2 linked regions of the Schizosaccharomyces pombe genome follow. The protein of the gene in region 1 interacts with the protein of each later gene in a pairwise test. Each region holds a gene or a part of one and is shown in the gene's direction. Other genes may lie near its edges.

Evidence for each region.
Region 2: the proteins of atg9 (region 1) and atg13 interact in a two-hybrid assay, tested with the Schizosaccharomyces pombe proteins (one study listed by BioGRID).

What each region holds. Positions count from the first base shown.
Region 1 is NC_003423.3:3,022,833-3,027,907, reverse strand, and holds atg9 (autophagy-associated protein Atg9), read left to right. Parts: upstream 1-2,249; 5' UTR 2,250-2,286; coding exon 2,287-4,395; 3' UTR 4,396-4,565; downstream 4,566-5,075. Other genes in the region: met3 (cystathionine gamma-synthase), read left to right, coding at 1-1,467; SPOM_SPBC15D4.08C (uncharacterized protein), read left to right, coding at 1,833-2,249; NatC N-acetyltransferase complex catalytic subunit Naa30, read right to left, coding at 4,935-5,075. UniProt on the Schizosaccharomyces pombe protein: Phospholipid scramblase involved in autophagy and cytoplasm to vacuole transport (Cvt) vesicle formation.
Region 2 is NC_003424.3:4,839,781-4,845,392, reverse strand, and holds atg13 (autophagy-associated protein kinase regulatory subunit Atg13), read left to right. Parts: upstream 1-1,789; 5' UTR 1,790-1,948; coding exon 1,949-2,083; intron 2,084-2,161; coding exon 2,162-2,257; intron 2,258-2,501; coding exon 2,502-4,547; 3' UTR 4,548-4,908; downstream 4,909-5,612. Other genes in the region: protein mug126, read right to left, coding at 1-538; BUD22 family ribosome small subunit biogenesis protein, read right to left, coding at 5,113-5,612. UniProt on the Schizosaccharomyces pombe protein: Component of the atg1 kinase complex that activates the atg1 kinase in a nutritional condition dependent manner through the TOR pathway, leading to autophagy.

The sequences.
Region 1 (5,075 bases):
CTGCGAAAACATCTTGATTCAATTGACCGAAATCGCAAATATACTGAAGAAATACACATACCTCAGGTTTATTCTGTATTGTTTCCATCCAAATACTTTGGGATTGCCAAGCAATTCTGGCAACATACGGGGGACGGTATTTCAAGCAGACGCGCAGCTGCTTTTCTGCATTCCTACAAAAAAATTCAGTCTATTTCCGAATTTTTGGTTGCCCAGAGGTCTATTTCTCATCTCAAAAGTAAAAGCAGAAGCCGATATGCTTCCCATCCAGATCTACAGGCTTTGAATACTTGGATGACTAACGAAGGAAACCAAGCTAATGATGAAATGGAAGACGTATCCCTATATTTGGAGGAGAGATATGGGCGTAATTTAGATTTAAGTTTGGCTACAGCAGCTAAACTTGTTCTTCGACGACGTATCGCTGGTACCTTAAAAGATGAAGTTGATTTGCAAAAGGCTTTACCCAAAGAAGGGTCTCAGTATTTACGTGAAGTTAAAGGTTTAAGTCACGACGATGTTTTTTTATTTCCTACTGGCATGAGTGCTATTTACAATACTCATCGCATATTAAGGTTGGTGCTTGATGATAGCCGTAAAAGTGTTTGTTTTGGTTTTTGTTATGTTGATACCTTAAAAATTTTACAGAAATGGGGATCTGGCTGCTACTTTTATGGACTAGGTAATGACGAGCAACTTGATGAGTTTGAGAAACGGTTAGAAAGTGGAGAGAAAGTTATGGCATTGTTTTGTGAGTTTCCATCAAATCCTCTTTTAAACTCTCCCGATTTGGTTCGTATTCGGAAATTAGCAGACAGTTATGATTTTGCTGTCGTGGTTGATGAAACAATTGGAAATTTTGTCAACGTTGAGGTTTTACCATTAGCAGATGTAGTTGTCAGCAGCCTCACAAAGATTTTTAGCGGTGATAGTAATGTAATGGGAGGTAGTATGGTTTTAAATCCGTCAAGTCGTTACTACTCTCGAATAAAAGATGCTATGAAGGCTCTTTATGAAGACTTATTATATGATGAGGATGCTTTGACATTAGAAAGAAATAGCAGAGATTTTGCTGAACGTTCACAAGTGATAAACCATAACGCGGAAACAATTTGTAATTTGCTTTATCAAAACCCTAAAATTAAAACTCTATACTATCCCAAATACAATACATCAAAAGAGCATTTTGAAGCTTGCCGGAGAGAAAATGGAGGTTATGGTGGTCTTTTGTCTGTCGTTTTCCACAATCCTGAAGATGCGCGCCAATTTTACGACAAAATCCAAGTAGCAAAAGGTCCCTCACTTGGTACAAATTTTACGTTGGCTTCTCCCTATGCAATTTTAGCTCACTACCAAGAGTTGGATTGGGCTGGTGAGAATGGCATAGATAGAAACCTTGTTCGTGTCAGCGTTGGAATGGAACCCAGCGAACACCTGAAAAATGTTTTTATAAATGCTCTTTCATAACTTGTATCTAAACTGTTTTCAAATAATAGATATTTTTTAAAAACCCAATCATATAACTATAGTTATAGATGAAACTGTCATAGTTATTCTTGAAATTGTTGTTTTTTCTTTTTGGTATTACCTTAAATATATTTAAACAAAATAGAAAATATATGCCTGATGTGATAGGAAAATGTAGTAAAGATATGTTTTTCTAGCTATTTCGAATGTGAGAAATATTTTAGGAAGTTCATTGTCTAAATGTTTACTTCGGGAACAGATGCAACGAGGTACAATACGTTCGCTTGGGGTATGCTACTTTGTTCTCAACGCTCAGTAATAAAGTGCGCGCGCTAGAAATTCTTTTGGTGCAAACCAAAATCATAATGCCCGAATCGGCTCCTTCAACTCCTCCATCTGTAAATCGGAGGCATGAACCAGAAATGCTTTCAGAGTACCCCTCGCTGATGTTTGAACACTCATATTTGGCGTCACCCTCTAGTCCGATTGATCAGGTTCATGACGAACTCAAACACTCTCAGAAACGTCCAAGATTAACTAACGACGAAGAAACAATTCCAGAAGAAGATGACAGTACTGTTCGCCTTACAGACTCAGAGCTTGAAGATCCAGTTTCAAGCAACGAGTTGATTCAAACTTCATGTCACCTGCTCACAAGCGTGTTAACTCAGCTACAGACCAACTTAGATAAACTTAAAGATAGTCATCAAAAAGCATTACTTCGGATACAAGAACTAGAAAAAAAGGTCTCTGAATTAAGCAAAAATAATAAAGATTCATGAGAAAAACCCATATGCCAATTTGAGTGGAATTGCGATCATGTTTTATCAGCCGGCTCAAAACAAAAAGCAATATGACGATCTTGCTGATATAGAAGCTCAAAATAATGTTCCTAATACCCAAGAAGTTTTAGAGGCATGGCAAGAGTCTTTAGACAGTGATGAGGACGAGTCTTCGCCACTTGAGGAATCCAACGGCTTTACAATATCTGAACATGACGATTTCGTAAAAAGCGTTCCAAGAAAGAATAATCCAACGGATTTGCTGTATTCTGGAAAGCTTCTGGACTCAGACGAGCCTCCATCTGTTCATGGAAATTCTTCAAAAGTACCCTCGAAACACCCCAGTCCTTCCTTTCCTGAAACTACTTCTCTGAGGAACCTGCAAAATGGTTCAAAGCAAAAACCAGCACTCCCCAATTTTAACGATCCCCATTTTTATAATGAAGATGTCACTCGCTCTGGACATCCTAATCGATCTATTTATACTCAGCTTCCTCGTAACGAATTTTCCAACGCTCGCGTTCTTTGGAATCGTTTAAGTGCCCGGGATCGGGTTCTTTGGAGATGGGCAAACGTAGAAAATTTGGATAGCTTTCTTCAGCAAGTTTATACTTACTACACTGGTAAAGGATTGTCTTGTATAATTGTTCACCGACTATTTCAAATTTTGACAGTTTCATTTGTTATTGGTTTTACCACATTCATAACTAGTTGCATAGATTGGCCTGCTGTGACACCCCATGGTTCACTGGCTGGTGTCACAAAGTCTCAATGCATTGCACAAATGTCGCCAATAACGTATCTTGTTTTGTGGCTTTTTTTAAGTTTTCTTTTGGCACTTTGGATATATTATCTTACTGATATTCCAAGGTTATGGCAAATGCGTGAGTTTTATATTCATGCCTTAAAAATTGCTACCGCAGATATGCCAACAGTATCTTGGCAAAGGGTTTTATATCGTTTATTGAAATTAAAGAATGTAAATGCTCTTACTGCTGAGGATGGAAGGGTAGTGTCTCTTCATAACATGAAACGCCTGGATGCTTATGCAATTGCAAATCGTATAATGAGAAAAGACAATTACTTCATTGCACTGATAAATAATGGAATAATTAATATTGAGCTTCCTCTCTTGCACAGGAGAATACTCACACATACCACGGAATGGAACATAAATTGGTGCATATTCAATTTCGTTTTCGATGAGCAAGGTCAGCTTCGTAGTGCTTTTCGAAATCCTAACTCCCGGAAAAGGCTTTCTGAAGAATTACGTCGTCGATTCATCGTCGCTGGTTTCCTCAATTGCCTTTTTGCGCCAATCGTTGCAATTTACTTAGTAATTCACAATTTCTTCCGCTATTTTAATGAATATCATAAAAATCCAGGCGCGTTGAGTACAAGAAGATACACTCCATTAGCTTTATGGACTTTTCGTGAATACAATGAGTTACAACATTTTTTTGATGAACGCATTAATGATAGCTATGCGGCCGCATCTCATTATGTATCTCAGTTCCCTGACTTTAACATGATTAGGTTATTCAAATACATATCATTTATTTTAGGAAGTTTTACTGCGATTTTAGTAATAATCACAGTTTTTGATCCTGAATTAATGGTAACTTTTGAAATAACTAAAGATCGATCTGTACTTTTTTATCTTGGTCTTTTCGGATCTCTTATAGCAGTTTCGCGCTCAATAATACCTGATGAAACTTTGGTTTTTGCTCCGGAAAAAGCTTTAAGGCGCGTAATCACTTTTACACATTACATGCCAGGATGGTGGTCTGATAACATGCATAGTAAAGCTGTTCAACAAGAGTTCTGTTCTCTATATTCATATCGCATAGTTAATCTTCTTTGGGAGATTCTTGGAATTTTGCTGACACCCGTATTGTTGTTTTTCACTTTTCCTTCCTGCAGTCAAGATATTGTGGATTTCTTCAGAGAACATACTATAAACGTTGAAGGCGTTGGGTACGTCTGTAGTTACGCTGTTTTCCAGGACAACCCGCCTTATGAGTCTGTCGCTTCTTTGGTACAATCACGTAAAATAAGCCCTCTAATTCAAAATAAACCAGAACTTTCTCGCATCAGCTTTTACGAACAATTTAATACGGAAGCACCTAGAAGGGATCTTCGTTAATGAAATTGAGAGTCAGTTCTTGAAACAACCAAGCAAGTCTCAATGGCTTAATGGTTTATTTTTCTGTCATACAAAATGAAGGACAATGTTTATAAGAAGTGTTAACAATTTGCTAGCAAGGCAATTTGAGCCACTAATGCATGTAATGATTGTATTTTTACTAATTTCTTTTAATGAATGGTGATTGTTTGTTTGGAGAGTTAGCAGTTTACGTTGAAGCTTCTTTATTTATTCAGCTGTAGACTTTATGTTTTACTATTAATGAAGTTTACATTTAATGGAATGATATTATTTTTATGAACATCCGTACAATTTCTTTGAATCAATGTAAACACTGTTTATTACAGTTATAATTACGGAGTTACGCTACAGTGACGACTAATGACAATTACTTATGGTATTAATCAGTAGAAGAAAAAAAATAAAAAAAAATAAATAGATTGGAACAACTTTAAAACTTTCACTTATACTGCGACAAGTGGAAACAAATTTTCTTAGAGCATAGAAAATGCCGCGATTTTATTTTGTAGCATTGTTTTTCAATTCGGGTACAAGATGTATCGAAATGCATCAGTGCCGTTCAAATAATAACGATAAAGACGTTTATAGCGACAAAACCCGAGTCTTTCATAAAAAGACATGGCTGCCTCATTATCCACCTCTGTTTCCAAAACAATTTC
Region 2 (5,612 bases), on another chromosome or scaffold:
ATTTTTTCCCAGCATTCTGAAGCTCCTCCTCTTGAACTGTCGAAGTTTTCTTTTTGTCCGTTTGTGATTCCCCTTGAGTAATGAAAGCTTCATATTGAGAGTCTAATTGAGGATTTCGAGGATCCTCCTGGTCAGTTGGAAAGTTCGCTTGACCAGTGTGAGATTCCTGTTGATCACTTTCAAAGCTTTGCATTCTTCCCATTTCAATTGAATCAATTCCCATCTCCAGGTCGCATGGTTTTTCTTTTGACTTTGTAAGAATGAATGATTTGATTACTTCCTTCAAGTTATACATTCTATGTCTCTGTTCATGCTTCACAAGTGGACTTGACGATCTAGAAGATCTATTCTGTTCATCTTCATTTTCGTCATTGACATTTTCCGGACACGGATCCTCTAGTAAGGTCTTCTGAATATTTCCAGATTCTGAACCATCTTCCTCCATTTCTTCTTGCACGTTGAAAATGGTTTCATTTTCCAAAACGTAAAAAGACGACAATGATGTTGATGATGTATTCTCGTTAAGCATTTCTCCCATTTCTTCAACTTATCTCTATCTTATTAATTATTGTTAATATTGAAGCAGTAAATCTGTTTTCAACAGTCAGATAATTTATAATTGGGGAACCGAAAAATGAAGACTTCTAAATAAAAACAAATAGCAGCAGTACAATTAAAGCCAAGCGATTATATTGGATTTCTAAAAAAAATAGAAACACCTTGTAACCAACAAATTTGAAACTTCAAAAAGTAGTATTTTAATCTTGGTGATTTGGAATGTAAAGAATATATAACATTTTGACAATTGATGATGAAAACATCGCAGCATCATGACTTATGGCATCTGCAATTTAATAGCAAAAACAAAAATTAATTAAAGTCTCGTTTCTTTATGACTCCTTATATCGTTGGTAAACCAGAGTACGAAATTCAAGGTATTTTAGTACTACCACATAATTTAATTCCTTTTTTTTTTTAAAAACGAAAAGGGCTGAGCAAACCTAAGCTTGCAAAACTTAGTACTGCCAAAAAAATGAGCATTTTATTAAAACTAAGAGCTCTTAGAAGTCAGTAATATCCTTTTAACTTCGGGTTAAAATCATGACCATTACCTTTAACATCAGTTGCATCGCTTCAAACATGATAATACTGAGGGTTTTACATTTAACTTTCACAAAAGTGATAGAGAATGCATCCTAAATCAATAAGCTAGTGCTTGTAAATGATTTTAATTAGTTAATAATTACCGTACACTCAGCCAACATAAATCGACATTATTGTTTGTTTTCCATAAGCGATGTTTGTGTATTTGGGTTTTAAAATAGCGAATATTTAGCGGCTGTCAACAAACATTTCCTACATTTAGCAATACATTACGTATCATCATTTGTTGTGCAATAAAAAAAAACGGTTAATATCCATTTATTGACAATTTTCGAAAATTGTATGTTTATGTCCGAAGTTTTTTCGGATTAAGGGAATCATAAATCAAATAAAACTCAGATTACTTAATTACTTGTTGTAGGTTATGCTCCATTTATTGTGAATTTAAATTGTTCCCTTCAACAAGACTACTTGCAGCACTGTTGCACATAATCCCTTTATATTCCAAAATAATAGCTCACAAAACAAGATTCACCGCAGTTTAAAGAGCCTTTAAATATAGCTACCATTTGTCTTATAACGTGATCGAAAGAAATCGTATTTAACGCAACGCTAATATTTACCGTGCTTCGTTGGAGCATGGCATCTGTAGTATCTTTTGCCGCTTACTACAATACTCTGCCTTACCAAATACGAACTGCAAAACCAAATTCATTCAATTAGGAAAACTAATTAAAAACTGCTTTATCAATTTAAAGAATGAGCTAACAATCAAATTGTTACATTAAAAAATTAATAATTTATACTTTGAAGTTGCAATTGAATTAATGGAAACCACATTGATATGCCGAGACTTAATACGCAGCTTCCTCGAATGTATTCTGCTCCCCCTGGGCATAGTAAAGCAGTTTCAACTGAGTTAAATAAAGATCTATCATCAGTGGGTGGTAGGAGCGCTAAGCTGGGCCAAGTCATTCACGTAAGTTAAAGTGTGTATCATAAGCTTGCTTGAGGTCCACCCATCCTTTACTTGAAAAGTATTAACATTTACAAATAGCATTGTTTTTATAAAACCGGATTAATAATTTTGGAATCCAGACTAAATGTATTTGGGACCTCTCGTCCTCGAGAAAGTTCTAAGAATAACAAATGGGTATGTATTTTTGTTTTTCTACAATGACGAGTATCGGTGTTATGCGCTTTATTCATACAGTGGTTTTCAAAAAACTCAAGATTATTTATCAATTACTTATCAGTTTACGTTCATCTCGTGCGTCTGCATAGAGTTTCATTTTTAAGCTACAGGTGAATAAGTTGATCACTGTACTATTGATGTATAAATGTGGAATTACAAATAATTAAAAAATTCATATTTGCACTTAATTAACAAAATGTAGTTCAATTTGGAAATTGTTGAAACTGAGCTTTATGCCGAGCAATTCAAAATTTGGAAGAATATTGAACTTTCTCCTTCACGAAAAATACCTCCAATGGTTTTGCACACATATTTAGATATATCTGATTTATCAAAAAATCAAACCCTTTCTGTTTCCGATGGTACTCATTCTCACGCAATCAACTTTAATAATATGTCGACAATGAAAATCGTACTTGAAAGATGGATTGTGAATTTAGATGGCGAAGCCTTATCAACCCCTCTGGAGTTGGCTGTTTTGTACAAAAAGTTAGTTGTTTTATTTCGTTCCCTCTACACTTATACCCATCTTATGCCTCTGTGGAAATTGAAGTCGAAAATACACAAATTAAGAGCTCATGGTACATCTTTAAAAGTTGGCTGTGCCCTCTCTACGGATGATGTTTTATCGAATGATTTCCTTCCTATAAGTGCTCCAATTTCATCCTCGCTCGGAAGCAGTATTGCAACTTTCTCTTTCAGCCCTGTTGGTACACCAGCTGGAGATTTTCGCATATCTGTTCAGTATCGTAAAAATTGTCATTTTGAGGTTCATGATTCTGATGCGTTACTCTCTAACCAGTTGTTATCTGCAGACAAGCATCAACTTGCTGCTTCGAACAATTCTCAAGATTTTGAAGATGGCAAACAGTATGATCAACCACCTCCTTCTTTTGCAACGCGGTTAGCTAAGCAGTCGGATCCGAATTCTCTTTTACAATCTGAAATCCAACATTTAGCTAGCATTGAGTCTATAACAGCTCAAGCAGCTCCTCTTGTTACTATACATCCTTTCAAATCTCCGTCATTATCTGCTTCCCCAGGGTCAAATTTTGACAATATGTCAATTTCTCCGAAGGTTGCAGTCAATCGTTATATACATCGCGGACCATCAGCCACCTCTTTAAATAAATTTTCAATGATTTCTGATGCTGCAAGCAAATCAAGAGCAAAATTGCCACCTCTTACATCTGGAAGTCTTAAGCTTAACACACTTGACATTTCCAATACCCCGAATCTTCGACGATTTAGCAGTAGTTTCGGTCCCCGCGAGCGTAAAGAAAGCTTTAGCTCTCGTAATCGTTTACCGCTAGTCAATCATCCTATTCGTAGCATTTTCAAACATAACGTCTCAGAGAATCCTATAACAGATCATTCTGAGCATGCTGTTTATGATAGTGAATTTGCATCAAAGGATGATCTTAGCGGTTTTATTCAACTATTAGATAGTCATGCACATCATTTAAATGCTTCGGAAGGTAGCAAATCAAGTGGTTCATTTCCAGGGAAGGTACAAACTTTGACATCTGGAATTTCGCCAGTTGCTCACCCTCATAATTCCTTGGGTAGTAGCAATGAAATTTTTGACATCGATACCTATAATCATTCAATTGATAATAGCGGATCCCGTTTTACTGAGGCTGTGAAGCATAATCTTGGAAATTCTAGCCATAGCATCATGCGCCATCACACTTTAGGTACGCTGCGATCTCGGCCTTCCTTCTCTGAAAAATCTACCTTCCCTGCTCCCCTGACATCCATTTCACAAGCTTCCACGTTCCAAGGAGATAACCGGTCTCCAAGCACTGTTATTCCTCATACTCAAACTGAAGTACCATCAGCAAACGATACTTCAAAGCAACTAGCATCTCTTCACGATATGCGGAAAAGTCAATCACCAATTTGTGCTAGATCGGCTACTTCTGCTGGACTTCCGCGTTTCGAATATCACACCAGCTTATCCAAATCACTGGAACATTCATCAACGCCAGCAAGCCTACAAGCAACAAAGACGCCCAGCCCTTCTTTTGTACTTGAGCCGGGAATCCCACAAGAGTACAAAAAGCACTTTGATAATCTTTCTGAAGAACGACGTCAATGTCTTACTCCTTCAACACCTACTTACGAATATTACAATGAGCATAACCCCAATTATGATGATGATTTATTGTTCACAATGACTGATATGACTCTTGAACCCCATGATGTTTCAGCTATTAGGCTTGGTTCTCCCAAATCCGATGATTAAGCGAAGCCTATGTTTAGAATTTGGAGTGATATAGCATCCATTTAATGCACTCAACCATTCTTGTTTTCTTTTAATTTTTTAATAGTTTTTTTCAGCTGCATTATAGCTTCAATTAAGCTTCGTTCCATACAAGTGAATTTCGCAATATTCGCCTCAATTCATGAGCTTTGGGCAGCGATTGAAAATACTCATAATGTCTGACTGTACTTTTCACATTTACCATGATTAGTATCTACATATACTGTTTATCTAGCTAGTGTAGGTATTAATTGAAATTGTAATTTAGTTTCTAATAATTTAAAAAATCACAGTTATTGAAAATTTAAATTTACTAGTTAGCAACAGAAACATCATGAATAATAGTAATTTGTTAGCTCTGTTTATTCTGTGTATAAAATATTAGCAACGTATACAGTTTCAAGATATTAATACAATCTTCTAGCTGCGATTTGAGCAATGTAAAACGCTATGATGTTTTACCATTGTTTTGAAAAAAAGAGGATGTTTCTTACTTCCTGAATATCGAAAAAAAGCACTACTATTTTATAAATTGGAATGTTTAAGATTAGTCAAAAACTATTTTTTTACCCTGGAATGCTGCACTAGAAGGCATTTTTTGTTTCCTTTTAGCCTCCCAAGAGGGATGCAGTTGCTCTGGTTTTTGAGGTGTTTGGTGCTCCGTAAAAGCATTTTCACGAGCAGCACGTTTAGCTTGCCTTTCTTCATACTTTCTCTGTCTTTCTTCACGAATACTCCTTTCTTCAGTCGCTTTTTTTATCAAATGGTTAGCACCTTTACCATACTTTTTTTCCCAAATAGCTTGTCTAGCTCTTTGACCACGACGATTTTTACGCTTCGGGATATCTACTTCTTCTAACTCCTTTTCGACAAATTCATCATCACTTTCGACTGGATCTAAGAAGCCCGCTGTAAGGGCAGGCAGATTAGTATTGTTATGTTTGCCCAGAGGAATTTCCAACATCTCATCATCAATTATAGACTTCCTGTTTATTAAAGTAGCATTTTGAAGAGATGATTCTTTTACACCTTCATTTTTCATAGAAT